3 linked regions of the Notamacropus eugenii genome follow. The protein of the gene in region 3 interacts with the protein of the main gene of each other region in a pairwise test. Links are inferred from orthologs where the notes say so. Each region holds a gene or a part of one and is shown on either strand. Other genes may lie near its edges.

Evidence for each region.
Region 1: the proteins of CTNNA3 (region 3) and JUP interact in binary tests that used the Homo sapiens proteins (3 or more experiments, as listed by UniProt). The link is inferred for Notamacropus eugenii from reciprocal best matches to the Homo sapiens genes CTNNA3 and JUP.
Region 2: the proteins of CTNNA3 (region 3) and PKP3 interact in a two-hybrid assay, tested with the Homo sapiens proteins (2 studies listed by IntAct). The link is inferred for Notamacropus eugenii from reciprocal best matches to the Homo sapiens genes CTNNA3 and PKP3.

The regions. Positions count from the first base shown.
Region 1 is NC_092873.1:358,227,412-358,235,039, forward strand, and holds the start of JUP (junction plakoglobin), read right to left. Parts: upstream 3,003-7,628; 5' UTR 2,840-3,002; intron 1-2,839. UniProt on the Homo sapiens protein: Common junctional plaque protein. The membrane-associated plaques are architectural elements in an important strategic position to influence the arrangement and function of both the cytoskeleton and the cells within the tissue.
Region 2 is NC_092873.1:27,985,415-27,992,608, reverse strand, and holds the start of PKP3 (plakophilin-3), read left to right. Parts: upstream 1-4,182; 5' UTR 4,183-4,653; coding exon 4,654-4,701; intron 4,702-5,124; exon of another isoform or gene 5,125-5,142; intron 5,143-5,269; coding exon 5,270-5,492; intron 5,493-7,194. UniProt on the Homo sapiens protein: A component of desmosome cell-cell junctions which are required for positive regulation of cellular adhesion. Required for the localization of DSG2, DSP and PKP2 to mature desmosome junctions.
Region 3 is NC_092872.1:261,306,848-261,314,928, reverse strand, and holds the start of CTNNA3 (catenin alpha-3), read right to left. Parts: upstream 3,063-8,081; coding exon 2,966-3,062; intron 1-2,965. UniProt on the Homo sapiens protein: May be involved in formation of stretch-resistant cell-cell adhesion complexes.

The sequences.
Region 1 (7,628 bases), on a different chromosome or scaffold from region 3:
TAGTCAGAAGACCTCAGTCCAAATCTCATCTCTGACAAAGGATTATGAGTATTTAGGGTTAGAAGGTATCTTAGAAATCTTCTAGTCCAAAATCCTCTTTTTTTTTCCTAGGTGAGGAAACTGAGACTAGGGGAATTGAAACGATCTGCCAAACAGTGAACCAAGTATATAATAGGCAGCAGAGCTGGGATTCAGACTCAGGCACACCCAAATCCAACCCTCTTTCTCCTCCTCCAGAACTGCCTTCTAGCTATGTGACCCTGGGCCAGCCACTTTTACGTGTCCCAGCCTCCATTTTCTCATCTCTAAAATGGGGATAATAGTATTGGCACTCATTACCTGCTTGGCAGGGTCATATTGAGAAGAGTGCTTTGTCAACCTGAAAACAATATATAAATGTGAGCTATATTTCTTGGTCAAGACCCAAGGAGTCATGAAACTTTCAACCATTTCTCCAGCGTGGACCAGACTACCCAACCCTACCCACGCTAGATGAAAGCCCTTCCAGCTGTAAAAATCCTCTGACCCTATGATTTGTTCAAGGAGTACCTCAAAAGACCCGGATCCCAACCTGATCTGCAGTAGTCACGCCTCAGCAAACTTCATAATTTGGTAATCAAGTGGAAATCAAGTCCTATTGCTTGCTGCTAGCTTCCTCCTCAATTAAGAGGTAGATAATTAAACCAGGGAATGAGAAAGGGTAAAAGGCAGGGTAAGAATATAAGATAATTGGCATCTCCCACATGGATTTTTTTCCTAGCTCAATCTCCTACTCTGGGCTGAGGGTAGTGGCTGCAGGAGAAGGTTACAAAGGCTTTGCCTGAAATAGGGAAGAAAGAGAGGTGAGGGGTACCAGGGGCGCCCCTAGATATGGAAAAAAAGTGCAAGTGGGCTCCCTCTATCTCCACGGGATTAGTAAACAGAATGGAAGTGGGGAGGAGAAAGGATAAGATCAGAAAGGATCAACTCTGAGCTCTCTATTCTGAGGTCTGTCCAGAGTTAAGATGGTCTTGAGGAGGAGGGAGCTGAACTTCATGGCCCAGAAGGTCCTTTGGCTCTAGATCTATGACTCTGTGATTCCCCCTAGAAAGTTTATTGGGCAAGCTAGGTGGCACAATGGATGAAGCCCTGGATCTGGACTCAAAAGGCTGAGCCCAAATTCAGTCTCTGACATTTACTAGCTGTGTGACCCTGGGCAAGTCACTTAATCTTGTTTGCCTCATATTCCTAATTTGTAAAATGAGCTGGACAATTAAATGACAAATCACTGCAGTATCTTTGCCAAGAAAACCCCAAATGGGATCATGAAAGAGTCAGACAGGACTGAACAGCAAGAAAGTTTCTTGCTAGATGAACTTTCCAAAAGATGGGACGAAGGTCAGGAGGGAAGGAAAAAAAGGACAAAGGGCAAGACAGGTGAGGGTTGGAATAAACATGTATATAGCACCTACTGTGTGCCAACCATTGTGCTAGGCACTTGGCAAATATTTCATTTATTCCTCACAACCATTCGAGGCAAGTGCTATTCCCAATATACATTTAAGGAAACTAAGGCAAACAGAGGCCCATATAAACCTTCCATAACTAGTTATAAGAGTCTGTGAAATGAGGTATTTGAACCAGGTGTTCTCTAAATGGTCCTCAGAGTCTCTAAGCTATACATGTCAGATGACAGCACAGCAAGAACACACTAGCAGTAACTTCCTGCTCTCCTGGTCCCCATTCCCCATCCCGCAGCTTTCTGACCTTTCATTAAACCATCTCCTCTCTGAAGCCCTCTCCAAGTCTCAACAATAAGTCAGATACCCTAAAACAAGATAAGCTACCCTCTTCTCCCGGCAACCTGAACACATATTAGAGAGAAGAAAATCTAGGACTTTGATGTTAACTCCCTGGGACCCGGGATCCGTTTAATGCCCAGTGCCAAATTTATGCCTAACACCAAATTCACCTGCTCAGCAAACCAGGAATGGGGAGATCCCGCCTCCAATGCAAGAATACTGACCCCACAGCTCGGAAAACTGGACCCAGACAATAGGGCCCCACCCAGGCCTGGGGAGGTGGGGGTGGAAGAGGAGGGCAGGAATGACGCTTGGTGGGGAGGCAGACTGAGGGGGTGACGGGGAGTGCAGCCCAGCTGCAAGTTTCCTTAACTATAAATTCCCAGCTGGACAGAGGGAGAGAAAATGCTCTATGTACTCACCACGCGAAATGAGGTCAAAGTCTCCCCCTCAATCCCAGTCCACTAAGGCCACTGCCAGGGAGGTCAGTGCTGTATCCGTACCTGACCCTCCCCTCCACCGTACCCCTCCTTCAATTCCCACTCCCTCCAGCAGACTTTTCCAGGACGAAGCCAAAGCCCTTCCCAAGCCCCCGCTGCCCACCACCCCTCCTTAAAAAGGACCACAGAGATCCACCCTCTCCAAACTCACCCTCCTCTCAATCTCTTGCTCCACATTTCCAGCCCCACCCAGTTCAGTCCTCCACTAACCCACTCCCCCTTCGGAGTGGCCAGCCTGACCCACCACACACCCCCGCCCCAAGCAAAATCTCGCGACCCCGATTGCCTTTCTGTCCCCTACCCACTCACCCACCAATCCCAGACCTCAAATGCTCCAAAAGCGACCGTCCTCTCCACTCCCTCTAAGTAGGCGCTTGCTCCCACCGCCCAGTCGGGCAAAGCTCCCTCAACCCCCCTCCCATTGGCGCCCCCTTCCTCTCCTCCTCTAAATGTCACCTGCACGGACCCGCCCCTCAAGGTGCCCCCACCCCACGCACCCGAGCGCGCGCGGAGTCACGGTCGCCCCCAGCCCCAGTCCCAGCCACACGCGTCCCTCACCTGAGCTCGTAGCCAGGGTCCGGGCTGGGGCTTGGGCTCGGGGCAGCGGGCAGGACTAGGGCTGGGCTGGGTTTGGATCGGAGGATCTGCTCCGCTCGGGCGGTGGCTGCTACGGACTCTGGCCGCGGCTGCAACTCCCTAAACGAACAAAAGGCGAAGAGACCTGACAGCCAAGCCACGCCTCGGGCTCCCCTTCGGAGCCCCGCCCCCGGGGCGACGCCCACCCGCTGCCGCGTTGTCACTGGTCCCGAGGCCTGCCCGTCTCCCTGGGGGGCGGGGCCCAGCTGCGAATCCGCCCCGCCCCGACTGCCTATGTTTACCGCCTCTCCATTGGCCTCGTGCCCTGCCAGTCGGCTCTAGGGCCAGACCCCAGCCCGAGGTCCGATCCCAATTCCGCGTCTATTGGATAGAGAAGGAATACTGCCTCGTGAATGGGTGAGGTGCTGTCAGTAAGCCTCGGGGAGAAACCAATGGAGTGGTTGGGGTGTGTCTTGCCCCACCCACGCTCTCCACCAGGTAGAACCTACTCCCACCTTTCCCCCCATACCTGTCCTACCAGGTGAGTCAGGGGAGAGGCTGTAGGGAAGGAAAGCAGCGCGTCTGTGTAGACGCCTAACCAACTCAGCATCAAGAAATAATTCCCTTAAGGGGATTATTCACCGCGGCCAAAAAAGTAAGCATCAGGTGGCAAAGACCTCGGACTGAGTGAAAAGAGGATTTGAATGCAAACTCAACAGTCCAAGAAAAGCCACCTATGGGGTGAAGGTGGAAAGAAGACTTTGAAGAAACAAGTCTACGAAGCTAAAGAAAACCAGGCAGCAGGCGAGAGAGAGAGAGAGAGAGAGAGAGAGAGAGAGAGAGAGAGAGAGAGAGAGAGAGAACGCCACGGTGATCCTAAGATCCCGGAGAGTAAAACATGGCCTTTTCTTTTCTGGCCATTTATTGAATGGATGTTTTTAGAAGGGCTCACAATGGGTTCAGCATCCTATGTCAGGCACAGTGGTCCCTTCCAACCCAGCCCAACAGCTGATAACCAAACATCCTACCCCCTTCCTGGAGGAGATAATAGGTGGGTGAAGGCAGGAAAGATTTTGCAACAGTGCCAAGCACTTCAGCCTTCCAAATGCTCTTTGCCCTGCTGTCCTGGACCCTCCCCCTCAGCCTGTGTGGCTCCCTCTCTGGGTATTTTCATCTCTACATTGCTTTCACCCACCCAGTCTCTCTGCACTTCAGCCAAATTATAAACTTTTTCTGGTTGGGGACAAGGGCTTTTTTCCCCATTGTTGCTTGGGTTTCCCTTCCTGAAGGCCAACACCCACTCTGTGTCCTGGTTTTCACCCACACTCCTACTTGGGCTACCTCTGTTTCATATGACCCACCCAATAAGAAGGAGAGGACTGGACAGACTTGGTCAGAGAGTGGGGAGCAGGGGAAGGTGAAAGGTATCAGGAACAAGAGAGAAAAACATAACATCTCTGAATGGAGTGAATAGAACACAGTATTGTGTGCCTTTCTCCCCAACAATAAATCAAGGGTGTCTCACCCAACATCATGTCCCAGCTTGTCAGTTCCTTACTAAAAAGTATAGGGTGTTACTATGGATGGAAATAGAAGCAAAGATTGCCAAGAGAAGACCCAGAAGCTGGACTAAGAGGGACCTCTTTTCCCTATTCCTCCTATAGAAACCTTGCCCCTCTCCTACATCCCCCAAGTCACATTTCTTTTATTGTTTTGTGTTGTTGTTAGAAGCTTGGAGATCATGATTATTTTTCTGTCAACATGGTGAAGTTAAACGATTTTCAAGAGTGACATTTTTTTTCTCTTTCTCTCTTGACACAAACTGAGCTTGGGAAAGATGAGACAGTCAAGCCATCCATTTCTGTGCTTCTAAACCAAGCAGTCAGGGAATTTTCCTTCTGAGGAAAAAAAATTCTCAAAGTCCTTTCGGAAAAAGTGCAATTGTGCTAGTAACATGTGGAAAGTTTTTGCTTTGTTTTGTTTTGTTTTGAACCTAAATTCACTCGCTGTGGTTTAAATCCATTTCCTCTTGTCCAGACTTCTGTGGCTGCTGAGACATTAGCCTTCAAAGGATGGATTCACTTCCCCTGCTCACTTCAGCTTTCTAGGGCTACAACTTTTAGTGGGGGAAAGGGTTTCCCATCTCACTCTAACTCATAAAAAGGAGTCAGCCCCCCAGGGGACAAAAGTAACTGGAAAATGGAGGTGCCCAAAGAGTGACTGGAAGTAGTATGGGGGAAGGGGAGCAGGTAGAGGTACTGTCTGGAGACAGTGAGCTTCTGTGGAAGTAAGAGAGGGAGATCTCCTGACTAGCAGCCATTATACCAGAAAAGGAATAGGCTCCCCTTCTCATTCTTATCTTCCCCCTTCCCCTCCTCTTCATTTGAGGCCTCTGGCCATATAAGGTGCTGAAGCTTTCTCTTGCTATTTGAACCCCCTCTCCACTCCACCCACCCACACTTAAATACACACATACCTTGTACATTCATAGGCATAGAGACCCATACACAGTTATACTCACATTCCCATCTGCACAGAAATCAATAGTCAAGACCCACACTGGGAAACATATGGATAGACATGAAGCTCTATACCATACACAGACTCAAGGAAAGATACTCACAGACAGGCATATGTATATTCACATACACGCACGCACGCACGCACACACACACACACACACACACACTTCATTTCCCTCTAACTCAGGTCAGGCTTAAAGAGTGGTCAGAATAAAAAAGTATCCAGGGGAGATTAGTCTGGTGACCCCTGACCTTGGATTGTTGAATCAGGCTAGTTCCTGATTAACCACATAGTAAATGTCTATCACAAGAAACAGGGTTAGATAACTAAGGACTTCCCAGATGGTCATGGTGAAAGATACCAGAATAAGGGGTAAGTGAGAGAAACCTGAAGCTTCTGTAAGGGTTTATACCTCAGCAGAGATACCATTATGGGCTAGGAAGGGGGATATATGATGCAGAAGTGGGGAGAGATGATTTCCTAAGCAACCAAGCCCTCTTGTTTAGAGCCAGAAGAGATTTGTGCTCAGTAGCCTGAAGAGATGGGGTGGATGGGGGGAGGTGTGAGAGAAGCTCTAGGTCTCACTGCCCAGTGGCTTGACACTGTAGGTGAGGTGTGTCTGACCCATACTGGGGAGGGTACTTAATTACTGATGTGGCTCCAGAAACACTTCACTGTGAAAAATGTAGGTGGAAATGGAATGTCAGAGGGAAAGCAGAAAGACACAGAAACAGAGACAAAGAAGGAAGGGGGAAGGGAGGGAGAAAAGGAAGATACAGGCTCAGGGGAGGGGATGGATCTGGAAGGTTCATGAATACGGTTATGAAATCCCAGAGAATGTTTGTGCTCAACACACATCCCAGGTAGCCTGAGCTGTTCTCGTTATATTTTTAACACAAAATCCCCAGAAGTCTCTTGTTGGGGAAAACTCACTCAGGAGTTCAGGACCAAATTTCTCTCCCCCAAGGCTGCTTCAATATGTAAAGCTTTGTTATCCTAGGATCTCCCCCCCCCCCCCCCCCCCCGAAGTTTCTGGAAATCCTTTGACACACCTAGGTGGTTCTCATAGTGGGAGGGGGAAGGGAAATGTAGCGGGGAGCTGGAGGAGACAACACAAGCTTCTTAAACTTGCTTCTTCTCTGACTCTTCTAGCTGACACAGCAGTTGCCCCACCCATCCCACCTGCCCCACCTTCCCACCAGAACCCAGAGCTGGGCAAGGCAAGGGAAGAGGCCTGTCCTAACATGCACCCATACTACCAGTTGACATCCATTTGCTTGCCTCCCCACATCCCTCCATATATACATTGATGTTCCAAGTGGGGAGGAGATTCAGCATTCCACCCCTATCCTCCAACCCCAAAGTCAGGGGCTTCCAGAGACTCTCAAGGAAGAATCACAGCATCAGCTAATTCTCTTCATTTTACAGTCAGTCAGCAGACACTTATTAATCACCTCCTAGGTACTATGCTAAGTGCTGGGGATACAAAGAAATATAAAGTACAGGAAAAATGGTCTACCGACAAGATGGGATCTATTTAAGCTCATCAGACATGGAACAAGGATTAGAACTCGGGCCTCTTTCTCTCCCAGTGGTCTTGACACTCCCCCATGTCAGAATAGCCTGCTCATGATTCTGACTACAAGATTCAAGCTAAGGTGTGGAAAATTATTTCAGTGCTGATATGAGATCTAAGCGTCTGTGCAGAAAAGTGGAAAGAGTTTTAGACTTGAAGCCAAAATTCTGGGTTCAGGCTCTGCTACAGATGAGCCCCATGATTATGGTAATGCACAGCCTCAGTTTCCTTATGTGTAAAACAGAGCTAATTATACTTGGTCACAATAAACGCTAATAATACCAGCTCATAGTATTGTTGTGAGAAGATTACTTTGCAAACGATAAAGCCTAAAATCAATTCAGGCTGCTGTTGTCATTGCAGTGAGGTGACTTAGTTGAGACCTCTGAAAAAATTTGCTCTTTGAAGAAAAGCCAGAGTTGGGGGGAAGGGAGGCTATGGAGACTTTTCCTGCCTTTTTCTGCTTCCTCCAGGGACTCCATTGTAAATCAATAACCACTTCCATCCTATGCTCTCTGTAATCAGCACAGATGACTCTACCCCAGGCTGGAGAGATCAGTGAAGCAACAAGACATCTAAACCACCACCACCACCCCCCTTTACTCTCCTGGGTCTCAGTCTTGTCCTCAGGACCTCTGCCTTCTTTTCCTTTAGTACAAACTCCCTTCCTGT
Region 2 (7,194 bases), on a different chromosome or scaffold from region 3:
AGGGAGGGCAAATGAGAGGTGGGAGTAATAAGTAATCACTTTAGGGAAGGGACAAGGTCTAAAGAGAGAATAGAAAAAATAGGGGGCAGGATAGGATGGAGGGGATTATAATTAGTCTTTCACAATATGATTATTATGGAAATCTTTAACAAAACTACACATATATAGCCTATATTGAATTGCTTGGCTTCTCAGTGGGGAGGGTGGGGAGGGAGGAAGGGAGAGAAGTTGGAACTCAAAGTTTAAGGAATGAATGTTGAGAATTGTTTTTGCATGCAACTGGGAAATAAGAAATACAGGCAATGGGGTATAGAAATCTATCTTGTCCTACAAGAAAAAAGAGAAGATGGGCATAAGGGAAGGGAGGGGTGTGATAGAAGGGAGAGCAGATTGGGGGAAGGGGTAGTCAGAATGCATGGTGTTTCGGGGTGGGGGAGAGGAGAGATGGGGAGAAAATTTGGAATTCAAAATCTTGTGGAAATGAATGTTGAAAACTAAAAATAAATACATTTTTAAAAATAAAAAAATTTTTTAAAAGATTAAACTTCACTTTTCAGGATGTTATTCTTGCTTTCTAGTCCTATTTTTTTTCTTCTTTTTTGGAATATTATATTCCAGCATCTCCTTGCATTTATGGTAAAAGCTGCCAGGTCTTGTATCATCTTGACTGTAGGACACAAGCAACTTTTTTCTGGATTTCTTGTCGTCTTTTTTCTTTGACACAAGGACTTTTTGGATTTGGGCTACAATAGTCCTGGGACTTTTTCTTTAGTTGGATTCTTTCTATCTATAATATACCCACTTTTTAAAAAATAGATGAGAACTAATAGAACAAAAAGGCAGTTTCCATTTATAAATTTATTTGTTTGTTTATGAATTACCTCTCCTTGACCTGTTTTCCAGGTTACTTGTGTTTTTTATAACAGATATCTTACATTTTATTCTATTTTTAAAATCTTTTGATATAATCCTGGAGTCATTAATTTCTTTTTGGTCTAGTCTAGTTTTCATTCCACTCTATTTCTTGGGTCATATTTTTACTTTCTGTTCTAAGTCATTTTTTCTTCCATTTCTTTATTTAAACATTCTAATTTCATTTTGTATTTCATTTTATTTTTATCTCGGTATTCATATTGGTATTGGAAAAAAAATCCATTTTTTCTCTTTAAGTCTCTGCTTGTAGTTGTTATAAAGTCACTCCTTTGGAGGGAAGGTCTCCAGATCTAAAATACTTTTTAAAAAATCTTGGTCAGTTTTTTCTTTGCTTCTTATCTCTCTGGCTTTAGTTCCAGAGCCAGACTCCATCCCCTGCTGGGCCTTTGGGAGGGGTGCTCAGCCCTAGATGGTCCCCTGGTTTTTGGGCTTATCTTCTACCTCTTAGATCTTCAGGGCCCTCCCCATCTCAGCACAGCATTAGGAATCTCAGAGCCCCTGGGTTTGAGGTATCCCATCTGAGTGCTATGATACCACACTGATTGCTGCCTCCTCCTGATTCCCTGGGCTTCCAAAGTCCCCACTCATTGGCTTTCTTTGGAGAGTCTTTTGTTCTTGATGCCCTCAAACACAAAACCTTACAGGCTTCATGTGTTCCTGGACCATCTCTCATTGCACTGGGAAGATACCCACAGGCTGGTGGCTCAGTGGATAGAGTATCAGGCCTAGCCGATTCTAACCCTAACCCTAAATACACTCTGATTCTAACCCTAAATCAGAAAGACCTGCATGCTAGTTGTGTGACCATGGGCAAGTCACTTAACTTCTGTCTGCCTCAGTTTCCTCAACTATAAAATGGAGAGACTACCACAGCTCCCAGGGTGGTTGTAAGGACCAAATGAGATATTTATCAAGCACTTAGCACATTGCCTGGCCCATAGTAGGCACTTTACAGGTGCAGACTCCCTTCCCTGCCCAACATTGCCAGTGGCAGCCCCTTCAGGTGGACTGCGGCCATGTTGGACTGGAAGAAGTCACCCACTGCAGTTTTCAGTGGATTTCTTGGTCCCTCTTTGGTGTGATCTGGTGACAGCTGCAAGGTTTGGCAGATGTAAGTGCTGAGCAGTCCACCCAGACAGCCATCTTACCCAAAGCCAACTGTCTAGTGTCTGCCTCCACAAGAGATTGACAGATTCTTTGCTGAAATCCTGGCAGAGTGGATCCCCAGCATCTCTGTGCTGCACTACCAGTCTGGTAAGCTTGTCCCAAAGGAAATGTGGTTCCTCCAGCAGGACCTGTTCTTACTGAAGCCTGCTGCCATAGCCTGCCTTGCTATCAGCCACTGCTGCCCTTTCCAAATGTCAAAAGCAGCTCTTTCCCGACATCCTAGATCAACACTGGAGAGTGAGTCTTTTCTGCCCTTTGGAAGATCAGGAGGTTAGCCTTCCGGCAATTCTGCTCAGGGTGTCCATAATCCAACCCTATTGCTGCCTCTCCACTGCTGCAGCCCCTGCCCCTTCCCAACCTGCACCTACATCTCCCTTTCTGTACCTCATCTGCCCATGGGGCTCTGAGCTCCAGCTGCCCAGGCTGGAGGCTGAGAATGTATGAGGTGTCCTGAATCAGATTCCAGGGAAGGTCTCCCACTATCCTCCCTCCCCTCACTCAGCCCCAGGCCCCAGGTTTCCTGGATTCTCTGGGTGGGAGGAGACCCAACCCAGTGCCTGCAGGAACCACCCAATGGAGGTTGGCAAGATGCAGATGGTGCCAGGAGGGCCTGCTGGTGCCAGGCTGTGGTTCTCCCAGAGAGCTACAGCTCCGTACAAACTTGTCTCCAAGACTTTTTTCCACCAGAAATACAAAGTCTCTGATGGAAGCAACTGGGTGGATCAGCGAGAAAGGGGAAGGCAAAGGGCGTTGCCCAGGCTGCAGGATCCACCTGGTCCCACCCCGATCCCCCCACAATCCAAGCAACAAGAGAGACCTGGATCCCAGGCTGGGGCTAGTCCAGGAGAGGAGCTGAAGGACTTTGATTCTCCCTACCCCAAGGATGGACAAAGAGATGAGCAGATTTTGCAAGATGGACAAGGTAGGTTTCTGCTTCCTCCAACTCACTGCTGACCTTCCCCCCGCTTACTTACCCCCATCTTTTCCCCCATTCCCCTCTGGCTTAAGGTGGGGGTGTATCAGGGCTGGGAGTGGGGCAGGTCATCTCTCTGGAGGATCAGTGTGTGCCCAGGGTCACTGGCAGAGAGCCTGATAATAGGACCACAGGTTGGTTAGGAGAGTGACTGACAGGGATGGGGGGTTCTCCATAGTGGATGGCGCTGAAGATTTTAATGTCTGGCTAGACTGCCAAGTGATCCAAGGCCACCCCAGGGGCACTTAAGCTGGGACTGGGAGATTCTCTGGGAGGGAAGATTGAAAGGGCCATCCAAGCAGTGGGACCAGAAGTCAGGGAGACTGCTGGAGGGCCATTTCCCCTCGTCTCAGTCTCATGTTCCTCATACTTGCAAGGGGGCAGTTCTTTACTTGACTTCCTCCAGCTCTCCTCATGCCAACCCTGGGAGGTAGGTCCAGCAGGTAGTGTTGACCCCTTTTGACAGAGAAGGAAACTGAGACTGAAAGATGAAGCTATTGAGTATCTGAGCCCAGCAGCTGTGGGCTTCTTGGACTGACTGAGCCTCAGAGCATAGATTGACCTGTAATTCCAGGTTCTCAGGGAGTGGTCAGGGAGGCATGACCCCCCAAATGGGAAGGGGCAGCCCTAATGTATTTCTGGTGCCTGAAATGCTAGGTCCCAGAGGCCTGGGCTCCACCCGCCCCACCCCTACTAGTGTGGACTTGTGTTCTGCTGGTCGTCCTGAGTCACCAGCCTGCTCCTCCCATCCTATGCCCACGTCACACTCAGGAGCAGCAGCGCTGGCACCAGCCCAGTTTGGAGGTGGGGCATGGGTTTGAGTGGAGAGGCCTCTTGGATCAGAATTCCAGAGCCCCCCAAGCTTGCCCAGGCCTGTCTCCCTCTCATCTCTTTCTCTCCCTCCCTTCCTCTCTCTCTCTCTCTCTCTCTCTCTCTCTCTCTCTCTCTCTCTCTCTTTCTCTGTCCCTCTTTCTCTCTCTCTCTCTCTCTCTCTCTCTCTCTCTCTCTCTCTCTCTCTCTCTCTCTCTCTCTCTCTCTCTCTCTCTCTCACACACACACACACACACACATCACTAAGCCAGGAGTGGCTGAACTGGAGGACTAAACTTGGGCCCCAGGAGGGAGCATGCCCCTCATCTCCCCTGGACCTTGGGTGTCTAGATGCCCCAAACAGCAGTCATCTTCCATCGAGGCTCAGCTCCCAAAGAGAACCTTGGAGGAGGGTGTCTGAATAACTAAAAAGCTCCCCAAATTGTTAGACTAGACGGAGAGTAAGAGAGAAAATGGGAATGTGATTGATGAAAATAAGGGATGAAATGAACCCCACAACTCCCACCATAAGAGGCTAACCTTAGCCCTCTAGATAACTCCAACCTAACCTTAGTCCAGAGTGAACTCATCCTTTCTTCCATCCAAGAATGACCCAGAAGAGTCTTTGGACACTCAGCCCCACCTCCTGGCCTGGCCTCCCATTAAGCCCACCATTTCTTGAGGTGTCCAAAAAGGGGGAAAGAGGTGACTGACCTCCATAGATTTGGCCCCAGGCCCATCTCCTGCCTAGCAGCGGCACAGCTGGAGAGATGCCAGGCTACTCTGGGCCAACAGATGAGCCCTCGGGAAAGCGTTGGGTAAATAGAGAGTTAGTAGTAGGCCAGCCTCAGTCAGCACCCTTCCCACCACCCCCAAGAGCAACATCTATAATAACTGGTTACCTCCCATCCTGCCCTGTCCGGTCCCAGTAGCGTCCCAGCCCAGCCCCTGCTCTGGGACCTCCCCTGGCCTCCAATCTCCACAGCCTTTCAGGATGGAGGGTAGAGGGAGGAGGAGGCTCAGGGGTAGGGTCACTAGGGCCTGAGGGCTGGGTAGGGCCTATTCCTTCCCCAGGAATTCCACCTTAAGGAGTCTGGTGGCTCCTCCCTCCCCGGCCTACCCCCAGGTATCCCCGCCCTCAGGTGAGCTCAGGCCTGGGCGGGGTCGGCCGTCTCTCTCTGGGCGCGGCTGGCTGGCTGGCAGGAACAGCTCGGAACTGAGCTGACTGACCGACCCACTGGCCCAGGACCGGGCTGAGGGTGATGCAGGGCAGGGAGGTCCGGCCAGAGCTCAAGCTCTGCTGAGCTCCAGACCCAGTCCCAGTCTGAAGCCCCAGCTGGTCCTGCCACCATGCAAGACAGTAATTTCCTGCTTTCTGCCCTGCAGCCCGAGGCAGGAGTCTGCTCCCTAGCCTTGCCCTCAGACCTGCAGCTGGACCAGAAGAACAAGGAGGCCTTGGAGGCAGAGAGGGAGCGGCTGAAGGTGGCCCGGGTGCAGGAACAGGTCCGAGCCAGGATGCTCCAGCTCGGTCAGCCTTCGAGGATCAACGGCTCCCTGGCCGGTCCCCTGATGGATTCTGCAACCAGTACAGGCCTAGACAGCCCCAGAGGTACCGACTGACCAGGATGAGGAGGGGGGGTCTCTTGGGCCAGGTCTGAGGGGCTGCAGGGAGGCAGAGGGGGAGCCACAGGCTGCCAGTCACAGGAGAGGCAGGGTAACTGCTGTTCTAGGGCGTGGGAGGGTGGAAGGGCAGGAGGCCCAAGGCCGTGCCCAGACTCCAGGCCCATTCTCTGACTCACTAGGAAGCCTTGGACTGACTCAGTCTGGGGATCCCTGGCCCCACCCAGAGGGGGATGAAAAGGAGCTCCTGGGGGTCCTCAAGACACACAGGAGGCTCCAGCCCAGGGGTCTGGTTGAAGGGAAGGGGGACAGTGTCAGGGCTAGTTCTGGGGAAGGAAAGGAGTCCAGATGTTGGCTCTCTCAAAACCGTGGGTTCCTCTGGTGGAGTTTCCCCAGAGGAATCCCCAGTCAGATTCTAGTCGGGGAACAGTTTTGGAGAGGGTGACACTTGTGGGAGAGGCTAACATCCTCTCCAGCTCTCTGAGTTAAGCTGGGGTTCCCTCACTTTCTGATCTCACCTGCTTCCTTCACTGTTCCACTGGGGCACAAAGAAATTCATAGTCCCACCCAGAGACAAATCAAGAAGCCCCAGCCCCTCAGGACCCCTCCCAGGGGTTGGGAAAGTCACCCCATCAGGGACCTTAAACCCTTTGGCTCTCCATGGAACCTTATTTGGGAAAAGGAGGGATCCAGGTGGCATGCCTCTACTAGAAAAACCTGCATACAGGTTGGAGCCTGCTGGAGGGCAGCTGGCCCACTGAAAAGCCAGAGGGATGGACAATAGGACCTATCAGGACCCTGGAGAACCAGAACATGAGGCAGAGTGGGCCTCAAGCCCTCAGAGGCTTCCACAGAGTGGAAGTTCACCTACTGGAGGGTGGGGGTGGGGTGGGCAGGAAGGAGGCAGCCAAATATGGGCACTAATTACAGCTTGTAAAAAGCATCAGAGATGGCTACTCATGGCCAGCCCTGACAATTAGGAGGATGATTATAATTTGGGGGAGTGGGGTTTGCAGGGAGCCCAAAGATGGGGGTGTGTACCCCACTGGCGGAGCCTCCCTGGCGTCAAGGGGTTAATCTCCCCACCCATGAAGCCTCATTAAACTGGGCTGGCAAGGGGACCTGGGGGATGGAAAGGCCTATGTGGGTGAGGAAGGGGTGTGTTTGCCCCTGGGGGTGGTTGATCTGTCTCTGACCAGGCAATGTACAGGGGGGCTGGGCCAAAGGCATCTGAAGAGCTGGCTGGAGGGGATCCCTCAATGAGGAAGCTTCCCCAGTGACCTTGGCCCCCTTGGGGACTCTGACAATTCCTCCTCTTTGCCAGTTAGGATAGGAACCAGCCAGCCCAGCTCCTGTCCCAGTCCCCTTAAATGCTGCCCTTGGCTCTCCTGGGGCCTTAGCCCCCCAGATGAAAGAGCTGAGGAAGCAGTCCTTTGTGGCATCTGCACTTTCCTCCTGCCTACCAGCCCCTCACCAGGCATGCCAAGGGCCCCCCCTTCCTACTCCAGCCTCTCTGCACCAGTGTGTGTCATGATGTAGGCCAGAGCACCTACCCCTGCCTTTCCCTGCCTGGTCCCACTGTCTTACCCACTCACCTGCCCTCTGGCCTCTTGTGGTCACCTCACTTGCTCCTTACCCCCCCCCCTCCTTCGTGGCACACATTAAGCCCTGGTGCAATGTTTATTCTTCCC
Region 3 (8,081 bases):
CATCAGCTTCAATTCCAAGCCAGAGATTTGCTTTCCCAGCTTTGTCTCTGGCCAGTTGACAAATACATTAGAAACTAATAAAAGTCCTGCTTATCTGAGCAAAGAAAAAGATTCCCTCTTTTCCTTCAAAGTGACCAAATAAATTGCTTTCCTAGGGAAACTGTGTGGAAATGTCAGTTTCCTATTCTTTCTCATCTTAACTTCACTCTCTCCTTCACTCATGGTCAGTCATGAAGAAGATTGTCCCCAGAGCCTCCCCCTTTCACTTATCAGCTACTAGAGAACTAGATAAGATCGTTCACCTCGACTTTGAAGAGAGCTTTTTCCATGCTGTTTCTGTAATCAATTAAACATTAAATATTTTTCAGTTGTTGAAGAATCCAGTCTCAGAATCACAGAAGCTGAGATAAAAGAGAGACCAAAAGTCAACTATTCCAACATGTGCCAGCAGAAGAATCCCCTCTTCAGGCCCCCTAATGTATAGTCATCCAGCCTTCTCTTGGAGACATCCAGTGATGGGAAGCTCACTAGCTCCTCAGGAAACCCATTCCACAGATAGCACAGCTATCATTGTTAGGAACTGTCCCCTGTCCTCCAGCCTAAATATGCTTCTTTGCTACTCCCATCCGCTAATCCTAATTCTTTCCTCAGGGAACAATGAAAATAAATCTTATCTTCTAGGGGACAGCCCTTCAACATAATTTTCATGTCACACCCAGTCTTTTTTTTCTTCCAGGCTTAAACACGCCAGCTCTTTCAACCAGTTCTCATACAGCATGAGTTCAGCATGGTATAGCAAAACAGAGCCTCGAATTTGGAGACAGAAGAATTGGGTTTGCCAACTATTTACTAAGTTTCCAAGGGACCTTGAACAAATATCCTTTTCACATCTCTGGGGTTAAAGGAATGGTGCCCTTGTGATCTGGAAAATCTGTGTAAAAACTTTTGGTCCTCCCTTTTTTGCACCAGAGAAAAAGTCTGAATTTCTCTTTTTCTTTTTTAGGGTGTTTACAGTATCTCATTTTAAAATTTGAGTTGATATTATACAATACTATGCAGATATTTTATGCATTTTTAACTTACTAAATTTTTTCTACGTCATCTGTTGGCCTTTGAGTGTTGTCTGAAGCTTCTGAAAAACTGCCAAAAGATTCCTGTTTTTTTATGCTGACCCAAGATATATCGAAACCAAAATGGGGAAAGGAAAATTGAGATGTGGAAAGGATAACTGGACCTTCCCCTCTCTAGAGCTGAGTTTCCTTTTGCGCAAAATGAGAGGGTTGGACTAAATGATCATTAAATGATCATTCTAGAATTTATGGTTCATTTTTACAAAATTGCAAAGTACCAACCTTGAACTTTGTCCTCTATATAACCTTTACCATTACTTGGGTGGCCAAGAATAGACCCTAACACAAGGTGGAAAGTAACTGAGTCCTGTCTTATAACCTTAACTTGGTAGTGGTTCCTTGTCATGGAAGGAGCACTGGATTGAAAGTCAGAAGCCATGAGTTTGAAACTGAGTCATGATATTTACCTGTGTGACCTTGTGCAAATTCTGTAACTTCTCAAGATTCCTCTTCCTTTGCAAAATAAGGGGATTGGACTAGATTGATCTCTAAGGCCCCTAAAGTCTCCTCCTCTTTATAACTAATGCAACGATTAACCATACTTACTGAGAATGACATCCAAATGATTTGAATGCGTCAAAGAGAATTTCACGCATTTTCAAGAAGGATCTGTGACTCCAGCTGCTTGGGAAAGTCCCTCCACCAATCCAGACTGCATCTTCTCTATGAATTAGGACGAACAGAAGCCCCAGTGAGCTGTCTAAAGCACTGAAACATTAGGTGACTTGCCCAGGGTTTCAAAGTTAACCAGCCCAAAAGAAGGTTCAAACCCAAGTCCCCAAGTCCAACTTCTATCCTCTATTCCACAGTGTGTCTAGGTGTTGCAGGTATCTAGTGATATTTACATGACAAAAAATGTAGCCCCTTTATGAATTCCACTTAAAGGTAACCAGAACAAGAGGAAATGGACAAGTCTTGGTTGCCTGGGAACTATATTCAACCTACATTGGAAATGTAAGCATTGAATTCACTAACTTCTTTCACTTCTCCTTTTTCATTCTTGACAATCAATATTGCCTGATTTAAAAATATAAAGAGGAAAAAAATTTAGGTGAAAAAAACTTTTTAAAAAAATCCACATATAACTTCAAATCCAGAAGTCTGCAATAGAATCTTGAAACATGGAGTACATTACTAAGGGGTATAATAATAGTTGACACACATACAGAACTTTCAGTTTTGCCAAGTGTCTTACTTATATTATCCAGGTCTAATACACTACTTCCCAGAATTATACCTACTCAAAATATAATATTTCAGAGTCACAGTGGAAATGTTTCAAATATGTTACTGTTCAGCTTCTCTATAGTTTGGATGAATGAGATAAAGCACACAAAGTGTTTTGAAAACTTTGAAGCATTATTTTAATGTAATCTCTCTGTACTATTATGATTATTATCACTATATGCATAGGACAAGTTTTTCTTTCAGCACTTCAAAGAAATCTCTCCTAAAGATTCTCCACATTTGAACTGCACTGATGCTAGCCCTCTAAATGTGCCCACCACAGCAGAAATGGCATGGAGGGGCTCATAATCTCCAGGCTGGCATTTTGTGTCTCCGAACTACCCCCAGAACTGCCCAGAAGAGGGGATCACTCTAAAAGCCCAGACACCACAGCAGATGACTACATGCTACCTGACAGATGCCATTTCCCTTTCTTTCTCCTCAGAACCTTTCATCAAAAGGTGCGGCTCAGAGACAATCTACAATGGTGAGAGTTTACTTGACAGGAGGAAAAAAAATGTGTTTTCAAAGTTAAGACTTCAAAAGAAGTGGAGACAAGCCCAGCCATCACTCACCAACCGGTCAGACCCCAGGACACAAACACTTACTTGGCCACAGACAGCTCCTAAGCCTGCTGCCTAAGCAATCGCTTATGTTTGGAACTTCGGCCCCACCGCTGGGCTCAGAATTTGGCTTGTGATGCATGTGTAGGCAAACAGGCGACAAGCACCCTAGTGTATTTCAGGATGACTGACAGGACACAGTGGCTGCTGCTTTGGGGGTTGGGCCCTCTTAAAGCAATATGCCGATGGAAAACATGCAAAGCCAGCAAGTTGTGCTGGAGAGGGCTCTCCCTGTGTTTATGGTGATCCAAGGCCTGAGGTGAACTTTGGATGGGGGTTTTCATTTCACAGCAAGCCAGAAAGCTGAAAGTTCTGGGACAGTCAATTAGACAGGGAGGTACCACCTGATATGCAAGAGGAATGAAAGGTAAAAGTGGTCTGCTAACTGTAGGGCTCCAGATTCTATCAGAGTGTAAATTATACTGCAAATGACTTTTAGTAGAAGTCAGTCAGGGTGCCCAGGAGAGGGAAAGGATTTACTGATCTGCCATTGGTTACTGAAAACCTCTGAAATCAATGCTTCAGTATTCAGTGGGTCTATGATCTGATCAAGATGCTTACTGCCTCTGGTGGTGCCAGTCACAACCCATTCATTCCTGGTCATCATTCCTGACTCTTGGGCATGTCGTCCCAGAAATCCTCCAAAGTTGGAGAAGTCCTCCTCCAGGTCTCTTGACATTGCATGGATACCAAAGAAACATGCAGGCTGTCCCAATATTATCCCTTGCTCTTAGTTCATGACCTGTTTACCTACATTACAGGTCCTATTTCTCTCTGATGACATTTTTTATCCTGCTTCTAATATACTTCCAATGTGTTAGAACCTACTCATGCCCTCCATTGGATTATGCACTACTTCAGTTCTTTGAAACTGTGGTATTCAAGACTCAAAGTCATGGCCAGTTGTGATGATGGTGAAAGAACGCTAATGCTGGGTGTTACTTTTTTTAGTTTATTATTTTATTTTTCAAATGATATTTTTGTTCATCTGCCCTTTCCACTATCACCTTCCTCCATTTAGCAAATATTTTTAAATCTCTTAATATTTACATATTCCAGCAAAATAAATTCACACAATAGCCACCTCTGAAGACAGAGAGGTGAGTGGCATAATTCATCTTCATTCTTTTAGAATTGAGTTCCAGGGTCTTTTGCAGTTGTTTCTCTCTTTAAAGTTGCTTCCATTGAACAAAATGTTCTCCTAAATCAGCTTATTTTCTTCTGAATCAGTGAAACTGTGAAGTTCTGCCCAGTTTCTTATGAAATTATCCATTTCATCAAAAGAATATTGATGTTAAAAAAAAAAAAGATGGACTTTTGCGTCAGGAAAAATCTTAAAAGAATCACACAATTTCCTGGTGACAATCCAAGAGAGACAATTGTCCTTCTCTTTAGTTCACTGTCTTGCTCATCCTCCATCTCCAGTAATTAACAACTCAGAAACTCAGTAATAGTAAACACTGGATTTGAAAAGCTTTTCCTTAGCTTTTGGGGTAACCCTTACATTTTTCCCCTTACTGTGTGATTAGTCTCCAACCTTGTCATAGTGACACAAAATGGGAAGAGTAAAAAGTTGGTAAATCATGGTTATGGGAACTCTTTTTTACTAGGATTTCCTGGGGAGGTAGACACATTGATTTAACTCACTCACATATTTGGTGTTTTCTGAGTTATTCTAAAACGCTGAGTTGCTAAGTCATAGCTAACTTTAACTCCTCTAATTCTTTTTCACCAGTAAACAAGCATTTATTAAACATCTATTGTATGCTAGGCACTCTGCCAGACACTGTACTTGGTTCTGGAGATACAAAGACTGAAACAGTCTCTACCCTCAAGGTGTTTATATTCTTTTTCGATATTTATTTATAATTTGTCTATGCCCTAGCATGTGGTCTGTCTTTGTCAAGAGGTGTCACACAGTGCTAAGAATTATGTGTATGCTTTAATGCTTCCATTCAGCAAGTACTATAATATTTCAAATCTAATTTCTCCAAAAACTTGTTCAGGTTTTTTATATTTTCCTTTTTCTTTCACATTCAGTTGATTTAGCTAGCTCTAAGAGAGTATCTTTAAAATCCCCTACAATTATTCTAATATATATGTATATACATATATACACACCCATAATTCACATAATATTTCTTTAATTTAGATGCTATACCAATGAGTGTATGTATATTTAATACTAATGCTGTTTTATGACCTGTGATTCCTTTAAGTATAATGTGATTTCCGTATTTATCTCTCTTGACATTGTGAATTTTCTTACCTCTTTAAAATGATAGTATGATTATACAATTTATGCTTTGGGGGAATCATCTGATGTATAGCAAATTTTATTCCAGCCTCTCATTTTCATTCTGTATGTGTCTTTATTTTTATATATGTTTCTTGTATTTAGCAGATGGTTGGTTTTTTTCCTCGTCTTTTCTGCCACTCACACTTTGTCATTTTTCTCAATTACATTCAGTAACCCTAGTCCACATTTCCCATCATTTAATCATTGGAGAGTATATTTGAAGAACTCTATAATGCTGTAGTAAGTGAAATATATTCATACCAGCACCAAGAAGCAGGACACAATGTGACCATTACAATTTGCCTTTTCGAAAGAGTGATTTATGGAGATTTATCCCATTCAGGATTTCAAGAGTAAAAATCTTCTCTCATGAAAAAATTTTAAAAGGCAGCATTGTATATGGAAAAGTACCCTGAGGTAAAAATCAGGTGCCCCAAGGGGCTAATCTCAGTTACATCACTAAATGGCTATATGATCTTGGGCAAGTCACAGTCTCTCTAGAACTCATTAAGTACTTACAGAAATTTCCATGTGAAGGACTAAGAGATCTCTAAGTCGCCCTTCTGGTCTAACAATCTAGGCTCTGTTATTAAATTTATTCCATCTCTGAGTGGAAAGTATATATCATAATCATAAATAATAAAAATAAAATTTACATAGTACCTTAAGGTATGTACAGCACTTTACATATGCTATCTCATTTAATATTCATAACAATCAATAGGTGCTATTATTATCCTCATTTTAAAACTGAAGAAACTGAATCTAAGAGTGGTTAAGGGACTTTCCCAGGGTCACAAAGCTAGTTGAATTCAGGTCTTCCTGACTCCAAGTTCAGCTCTGTACACACTTGAACAGTATTCTAAGATATTATATTCTATGATATAAAGTACTTGCCATTCTTGCACTGTATGTTCTGTAATATATGGTCTCTTCTGTCTTAGAATCAAAGAATTCAAGTGAATGACCTTAAAAAATCATTTAACCTCACTTAGACTCAGTGTCCTACTCTAAAAATTCATTGGCTAAAGAATTGTTTCACCAAGGGAACATTAGCATGATGATCTTCCCTCAAGCCTTCCAACAAAAATTCGATTCATCTTTGTCAGTCTGATGGATATGAGGTTAGATCTATGTGGCTTCAATTCTTTTTTTTTCTTATTTGCATTCTAGAACATTCTTTCTTAGAGTTGTTGATAGTTTACTTTTCTTCTTTTGAAAAGATGATATCTTTTTACTACGTGTCTGTAAGAGAGTGGTTCTTGTTTTTCTATATTTGTATCAATTCTCTATATATCATTGACATCAGACCTTTATCAGTGATATTTGCTTTGAATATTTTTCTTGACAGAATTTTGAACTCATTTCTAATCATCCTTTTCCTCCATGCATTTTCCATCCAGAATGAAGAGAACAGAATGAAACCATAAGGTAAAACACAGCCCTTCTCCACCATGTTTGACTACATTAGAAAATAGCTCTTGCAACATTGACATTTCCCTCATGAAGGTTGTGTGTTCAATGCTGAGTCTGTTAAATAGTTGAAATAGTTATCTCATCATGAACCAGTTATTATTTTATGGTCACGCTGAAAGCCCAACATCAATACCCTGTTAGACTTTGCACATCAAATTGCTTAACTCATTAGGCATTATGGTGGAGCTAGTGGAAATTGTGCATGCTTCAATACTTCAGTAGATCTATAATCTCATTAATACAGATATTCCATTAATACAGGTACATTAATACAGTTACTCCATCCAACAGTTCAGATAAAATCCATTCTTGACTGTTCATCCTATGTGATTCCCATCCTGTAACACACAGGATTCATCCCAGAAGCTACATAGGATCCCTGTTCATGATCTCTTGACACTGCCCCACGTAACATCCCTATCTATTATTTTTTTACTCTTGCTATAAAACCATCTACCTCCTCCAGACATATATCTCTTGGATGACATCATTCTTATATGCAATTTGCATAAATCTGTTCTGTCCACCACATATCTTCTTATTGAACTTAGTGTGATCTATAATTTTTATTCTAGAAAGTCTGTAGTATTCCACAATTCACAATGAACATCTCCAGAAGAACAAGGGTGTAAGCTTCTTGGGAATAGAGCCTGTGTCCTTCATTGTGTCTTTGTGCCTGCACATAGTAGGTACTTAATATTTGTAGACTGATTTATTGACTAACTAAGGCTACTAAGAAGAAATATTGTTTCAAAGCCCTTCAGCTTAAACATTGTTGAAAACTCCATCATTTTCCTAAATTCAGACCATTCTCTTCTTCCTATTCAATTCTGGGCCTGTTTCATGGTCGATCTGCATACACATATGACTGAACCAACTCCATGGGCTGTCCATCAAACTACACATCAAGGCCTCCCACACCAAAGAGCTTCTCAAATGATATCCAAAATCATTCAAGAGTTCAACCGAACTAACTACACAAGGAAAAACAAGTCAATGAGGAAAGCTTAAATAACCAGGCATGCAGAACAAATTTTAAAGGTTTAAAAGACAGAAATAGCACCAAAGTTCTTTGAGCAGATAGAGCTCTTTGATGATTCATTTACTCATCATGTAGTGAAAGAATGGGGAATTTGATATCAGATGACTACTAAAATGGAAGCTTCTAGACGACAGCTACCATGTTTTTGCATTTGTATCCCTAGTGCTTAGCACAGTGTCTGGCACATAGGAAGCTCTTAATAAATATTCACTGATGAAAAGACTGACTGACTTGGGTTCTAGTCTTAGAAAAACTAGGGATGTCTAGCCTCTAGAAGAAGGAAA